2 linked regions of the Caenorhabditis elegans genome follow. The protein of the gene in region 1 binds, or shares a complex with, the protein of each later gene. Each region holds a gene or a part of one and is shown on either strand. Other genes may lie near its edges.

Region 1 (3,757 bases):
ATTGTGTATACAAATCCTGATTGTTCTTTGTAACAGCAAAAATGACATTTGCCTTACGATCCTTGATCATTTGATGAAGAAGTGCAATTGATGGATAATCTTGATTAAGTGTTTCAGTATAATATCCTTCTCTATCTAAATGACATGTTCCATCATTTGGTTCGACGACACCTGCCAATCTTCCGTCTCCAGCGAAATGGAATCCAGCGTCAGTTGAGAAAACGATCATTTTACGAGCACGTTCACGCCACCCAATGGTTTTCTGAAATATTGATTTTTAGATTTTAAGCTTTCCCGATATCTCAAAAATGTTGATTTGATTCTTTTTGAATTTTTCTTTTAAATCAAATAACCACTTACATTACAAGCCAACGCCTGAACAACAGCATCGAAACCTCCTTCCGGAGCATCCAAATTTCCAGAAATTTCAGCTTTATCAACTTCAGCCTTGAACTTTGCCGTGTTCGTCGTCAATGACATTTGATGCTTGAATCCATATGGTTCTGCACATGGTGTTGGACACGGAGATAATTGTTTTTCGATTCGTGGATCGATGAATGGCATAAGTTTCTTGTCAATGAATGAACCGAATCCTAATCGGAAATTCTTTGTGACAGTTCTCATTCGTTCGGCGAGCAAGTCTCCGAGTTCGGACAGTTTCTGTTTGTCATCCTTCATGGAATATGAGAGATCCATCAAATAGTACAAGTCAACTGGATAATCAACGGCTTGACGGTAGGTCACATTGAAACGAACACGGGATTCTGAAAAAAAAACATTTAGATTGTTGTTGATATTGAAGAACTGGATTTAGAGAAAAATCTTGTGATTTTACAAGTTTTCGAGTCGCAGCGGTCACTAATTAATTTTTATTTTATAATCACCCTGAATTGCAAATTTTAGAAGTTTATCATTAATTCGTTGATTTAGGCATATTTTAAGCCCAAAAATCTCTTAAAATCCAAAAATAGTCAAACGAGCCTAAAATGTGTAAATCAACGAATTATGATAATAATAATAAATTACTTCACTTAATTGTATATTACAGGAGCTTTTTAAGATAAAAATTAAATAAAAAAGAGGCTGAAAATAACCAAAACCGGAAATATTTTAACTTTCCGCAAAAAAAATGCAGTACGATTTTTTTTTCAGTGTTTTTGAGACAATTTTCAAATGTGATTTTCAGCGGTTTTTGTTGTGAAAAATCAATGAAAAACATTTCTTTAATTAGTGCAAATTTTTCCTGAAAATTTAAGACTACGAAATTACCCTGAAATCTTCGTTTTTTTTGCTGAAACCCCAAAAAATTTTTTGTATTTTATTGATTATTTTCATCGAGTTTTTAAACGAATTATCTTTGAAAACCATATAAAAAACTTACTGGGCCGAATTTCGACGTACATCTCCTGTGGTTTGATCTGAACGGCTTCTTCCTCAGATTCAACTTGTCCTTGATCGGAGAGTTTACTGTCTTCAGTGATATCCAATTTTGTGGCCGGATCCTCGATATAACTGTTTGGACATCCATGTTCCATGAGCTTGGCACGGCTATCACAACGGGCATATGGCTTCTTCTCGTCGAACATCTGGAATTTTTTTTATTAAATAAAATAAATTCATGGTCTCAAGCATTTAACATACCGGTGCTCCACACCACGCGCAAGATTCATGATATTGAATGCACGCTGAGCATGTGTAATTGTCACGTGACAGACTGTAGCATGGGAATTCTGATTTTTCGACGACTTTTCCAGTGACTTCTCCAGTCTTCCAATCGCTTGCTGGTAAAGCGAATGGAAGAAGTGCTGCGAGGAGCAGCAATGATGTTGAAGGTGGCATTTGATGCCGGGTAGGTTCAACTGAAAAATTAATTAATTGGCTTTTAGTACATTGAGAACGGAGTAATTAGAAAAAAAAACGGTGAGATTAAAAAATGGTGTATTTATAAGAAAAATTGATGATGAAACTCTACAGAAACCTGATATCAAACTGCTTTCAACAGGTGGCAACTTTCATACAACTTTTGAAATTTTTAAAGCTCTCCAAAAAAGTTAGATTTTTTGAAAAAAATATTTTGATATAAAAATCAAGAATATCATACTAAAAATGGCACATCCCCAATTCATAATTTCTTCAGTGAAGAAAAAGTTATAATATAAAAGTTATACAATAAAAAATATATAGGAAATTTTGAAAGAAAATGACTTCTTGAAATATTAGTCACCATAGTAGGAAAATTTATTGTTTACTCAACAAACGGAGTGAATGCGGGAAGTATAACGGAGTCATGTTCTTTTTGTTAGAAAATTACATAGTTTTCGGGGGAAAATATAAAAAAACTTGCAGCGAGGAATATTGGAGTTCAGACAACTCGGATTTGAGAAAAATCGGTCGTGTCGAGACCGGGTACAGTATTTTCGGGAAACAATAACTTAATTCGGTATCTGCAGGCACACATGTGTAATGTATGAAATTTGAGATTTCGGGATAAAACTTCATCCGTTTAACATTTTTGGAAGTTATGCACATAACTTTTCAAACCTTAAAAATCGATAAAAGTATCAACTACGTCCACCGATCACCTCTTTTCGGAACGTGGGCGGATCTGCCAAGTGCTTCGACAGGAGCATCTCTCGCCTTCTCTCTCTTCACAACTGCCATCAACCCAGCAGCAGAATGCTCTTCGAAGAGATAGTGTAGGCGATAGAGTGCTCTATGTTGGCCGGGAGAGGGGCTCGGACCAAAGTGTAACGAGAGTTACACCTGCTTGTATCGTCGAAGAAACAAAGAAGACGAAGGGAAGAAAACCAAAGGGAAATGGGTGAAAAGGCGTTAGAATCGGGAGCTTCTAGAGACATCAGAGACCGATGAAATTGCGAAATTCACAGGAGGGGGTTTGATGTGGTGAGGAAAGGGATTTTTCGATAGTTTCAATATCGTTAGTTTGGTTCAAAAGTGGGAGTGGATTCTCATTTTGGAAGACATTCAAACAGGGATATTAGCTGAAACTAAAAAAAAGGATTTCACATTCTAGATCGACATTTTCCTTCTTTTTTTTGTGGTTTAATGAAATTTCTGACTATTTTGGGTATTTTTAAGCTTCCCGCTATTCCAAAAATGTTTAAACTCATTGCTGAACATCAAAACTGTTCCTGGTAAACTAGTTTAGGTGAAACTTTGAAGATAACTATAATTCTTGCTCTTACAGCTTATGAATGCACCTAGTAATTATTAAAATGTCAAAGTATAATTAATTTTAAAATGGCTGTCAAAAGTTATCATACAACGATATAACAATTTAGACATTGTGAAAAACGACGATTTCAACACTTAAATAACGAAAAGAGTAGAAAATAATAGCGTCTGAGTCATTCTTGTTCTAAATTTCCCACGCCCACCGTCTCCCGTCTCCAATCCATCAAATCGATAACAATCTGATAGGAACTAATTCAAAATCCAAACTGAATTGAAATTGAAATTGGGAGGAACAAAACGAAGAAGGGAACCAAGGGATGACAAGTAGTAAGACATCTGGTGCATACATATACTAGTATCCTCTGTCTCTATGTCTCTCTGTGTTCGTATTGCCCTTGTGTGTTTAATCATAGCACTAGCCCGGAATAAAAGAGCATTGAATCTGTGGAGAGACAGACACAATGAGAAGAGGGGTCGACTGTTGGTACTTTTGTTAGCAGGAGGGGAATCTACAGAGAAAAGAAGCAGTTAAACGGAGTGTGGACAGCAGCAGTCAGGATAT
Region 2 (3,757 bases), on another chromosome or scaffold:
GTCTTCCATAAGTTTGAACGCAAATTGCACATTTTTTACTTTCTCCTCGTGGCTTTGAACTTGGAGATTAAAATGGTAAAGCGGGACGAAATAACCTTCAAGAAGTCCCACTAGGAGAACTAAGAAAACTCCGTCCTGGAATTGATTATCCAAATCAGACACCTAAAAATTTACAAATATCAGCTTCTTTGTAGCACAATGAAGTGAATAAACTTACTTCCAGATTAATTTTATTCAAATGCTTATTACAAAAAGCCAACAAAGATGTCTTCACATGAGCCAACTTATCGGGTCCATAATCGAAAAGCGTATCAAATGCGTCACGAGTGCCCTTCGGTGCCAACTCAGTTTGAACTGTAGTGATTTGCTCAGTAATTCGATGGGTCTTCACTTGACCATGTTCCTTTTGAGCCACCACAACGTTAGCAACCACGTTATCTGGGAATCGAACTGGAGCACGGTAGTGAAGAGCAAGAAGCACCAGGAGCTGGATGATGGCAGTGAAGTCCTGGGAATATTCTTTTATGAGAAAATATAAAATATGGAAAGTAACTCTGTTTATTCGAAAAGTACTGTTGCGTTCAACTATCGTATATTCTCAATAAGTTTTGCATCCAAAAACCACCTCGAAAATTAGTATTGCAGTTCACGAATTTCTATATAGATTACCAGCCGTGGACCTGGGGGTGAAAACTGATTTTTTCTGAAACTACAGTATTCCTACCGTACCACTATTGTGCCAATACAGTACTTCGACTATATCCCTACACTAACCCCAACTCACTATCCCAAGAAGCCAAAACTTCACAGACTACAAAGACTACATAGACTACAAACTATGGACACACAGAATAAGCGCTTTATATATAGTAAATGATGAATAGTATTGTGTGGCGGAGGTGTCCACAGATTAACATATCATACTAATATAGAATATACGGTAGTTTTTGGAACAGCTTCGAGTGAGAAACTCTTTTGTCTACAGTGCGTCAAACATCTGCACAATGAAATGTAAGACTGATAGAAATGAACAATTCAGACAAAGATTTGCGTACCTTTTGATGAATAAGATCCGCAGACCATTTCTCTTGTTCTCTTGGCTGTCCGAGAATTCGATTGGCTGTTTGAACTACAATTTGCAGTTTTTGACGTTGTCCTTCTTCTGACTGCGAAACTTCTGGAACCTCGATCTGTAACAAAACTGTGAGTGGAGAATTTATTCAATTTGTGAAATTGTACCAATAACTTACTCGAATCTGCTCCAACTTTTCCAACAGCTTCTGGATGATTTGACCATCGAAAAGATCTTCTTGCAAGTGACGAACGACAATTCTTTGATCAGCTAGCTCTTCATTAAGCCAGTAGATCAGCAAATCGACAACTTGTGCCAACTTCTGATCGCGGGCTGTTTCCTTAGTCAGATAACGACGAATTTCTCCTGGAAAAAAATATATTGGATAAATATATTGGTGAAACCGTTTACCTTCTTCCAACCAGATGTTTCTTGCAAGAACTGGGACCAATGACTGATCGAGAGCCTCACGACCTTCAAGTTCAAGCTGAAAAATCTATATTTGCTAAAACCATTAATTTGCAAAACTAACCTCCAAAACTTCATCTTCATCAGTAGCATGATGTGCACCCCCTTGGTTTCCATGCTCATCTTCCGGCGCCTTCTTCTTTCGAGAAAGGGTACCAGAGAGTTTCTCAAAGACTCCAGGCTTTTTTGGTTCGTCACGAGATGGGGTCTTACTACGACCAAGTGTTGACATGGTTATTGCTGAAAAGTTTAAAATTATTAAGGGGTAAATATTTGTTGATTCATAATAAAAAATAAAGTACAATTAGATATTGATAAGTTAAAAAAATTTTGAAGTCTCATTATGAAACTCTGTTTTGGAACATTTCCTCTTTAAGCACTTAAATTTAAATTTGAAAAATCGATAATTCAATGTTCAAATAGCAGTAAAAATATTGTGTGGGAGGATTCTTTCCGTAGAGCAACACAAAAGTCCCCATCCAGGCCAGCAGATAGTGTAAAACAGCCGTCGTCAGTGTTGAAAAAGTGAGAGAGTGTTGGGAACAATAAGAGACGTAGAGTTGGAAGGAGAGTTTACGACAAATGAGAGATTGGGTGAAAAGAGGATGGTGCAGATAAATGGTGTGTGTGGGGGAGAGAGAAGGCTTTGGGATACATATAAATGTATGGGAATAGGAAAGAAGAACGGAAAGTTAATATTTGTATATGCATATGTATTGAGAAAGAAAAGGACGTCCATATAACAACTAATATTCAAATAAATAAAAATAAAAATAAATTAAGAAAGACAACAACTCTGCATTTACCGTATTTTCGCTATTAGTCTTGCATGCGAGACTAATTTTCAATTGGTCTTTAGGGGTGCAAGACTAATAGAGACTGAAAACTATTTTTCGAACTTTGGAAAGTGATACAATTTTGACCGTTCAAACAATGAAAAATACATACTTTCCCAATATTACATCAATTATTTGAACGATTTTACATTTGATTTACTCCAAAAATGATAAATTTGCTTACGTTTCCACAAAGTTCTGCTAATATGACAAAAAGTGGGGTGCTAGACTATTACAGGCTGTAAGACTGATTTTCAATTAGTCTGTAGGAGTGCAAGACTAATAGAGGAAATACGGTACAGTCGGTCCACAGGTCGGTCTTTTGAAAATAGTTTTTTCCATAGCAATTTTTGAAAAAATTTTGAAAAACAATTTTAGGAAAAAATTATGAAAAATCACATCAGTTACATTGATTATACGTACGGTACATTCGATTTCCTGGCGTATGATAATAGTTGCATTAAACCGAAATCAGATTAAGAAACATTGAACTAGTAATTGTAAAAATTAGCATGCAATCTAGAAAATTAGGAAATCTGAAAATTATTAAAGGTGGAGTAGGGCCAATGGAGTAAGTGTTAAAAAATACTCCTATGGTGCCAAAGTGACAAATAATCATAATAAAACTTTTCAAAACTTTTTTGAAAAATTTTTATTCACTGTCAAAAAGTGTTCAATATTCAGTTTTTGCCACTCATAATTTTGGAAGTCGACCAAAAAAAATTATTTTTCCTACATTTTTTATACTGTAATTTTGTTTCAATTATTTTTGTTGAATCATTGTAAAGACCGGAATATGCGACATTGCTTTGGATGTCCTCAAAAGCTCATATTTGTCAAAATTTTGGTAATGTGCCAAAACTTTGACCGAAATTAGGGAAAATCTAAAAATTTTTGTAGTTTTATTATGATATTCGGTCGTTTGAAATCATAATAAGCGTATTTAGACAAAATCCCCATTGACGCTACTCCACCTTTAAATTTTTGAAATTTCGTGTACTTCCTTCAAATTTGTTTAATCATCAACCCGATGCGTCTATCCTTCGTTATCAACAAATTGTAGGTGTCTGTGTCAAGAACTATTGTATCTCGTACAATCGAAAAACCAGTTCCTTCATTTTCAAAACGCTCCCTTATTTTCTTTGTTATCAACAATTCGATTTGTAAAAACGGAACCACATCGATTGTTGTCTCTTGTTATTACATCAATTCCTACACCATTTTCAGTCAAAGTGTGGATATTTTCTGAAAACTGAGCGATTTCAGCCAAATATTTGCCTGTTTTTCATTTTTCAATAAAACTTTGCCATGTTTTCAATCGTGCCCATTGATCTTTAATGAATTCTTTTTCGGGAGAATGTGTAGGTTATTTGTTAACCAC

The links. Proteins that work in one complex are often made in the same cells at the same time.
Region 2: pat-3 (region 1) and pat-6 share a complex: the UniProt entries of both Caenorhabditis elegans proteins name them as parts of the integrin containing attachment complex.

The regions. Positions count from the first base shown.
Region 1 is NC_003281.10:3,912,291-3,916,047, forward strand, and holds the start of pat-3 (Integrin beta pat-3), read right to left. Parts: upstream 1,860-3,757; 5' UTR 1,840-1,859; coding exon 1,642-1,839; intron 1,587-1,641; coding exon 1,382-1,586; intron 765-1,381; coding exon 361-764; intron 263-360; coding exon 1-262. UniProt on the Caenorhabditis elegans protein: Integrin alpha ina-1/beta pat-3 is a receptor for laminin. Integrin alpha pat-2/beta pat-3 recognizes the sequence R-G-D in its ligands. Plays a role in cell migration, morphogenesis and probably in cell-cell interactions.
Region 2 is NC_003282.8:262,453-266,209, forward strand, and holds the start of pat-6 (Paralyzed arrest at two-fold protein 6), read right to left. Parts: upstream 1,781-3,757; 5' UTR 1,773-1,780; coding exon 1,605-1,772; intron 1,560-1,604; coding exon 1,484-1,559; intron 1,439-1,483; coding exon 1,251-1,438; intron 1,191-1,250; coding exon 1,056-1,190; intron 509-1,055; coding exon 218-508; intron 163-217; coding exon 1-162. UniProt on the Caenorhabditis elegans protein: Involved in the regulation of cell adhesion and cytoskeleton organization. Component of an integrin containing attachment complex, which is required for muscle development and maintenance.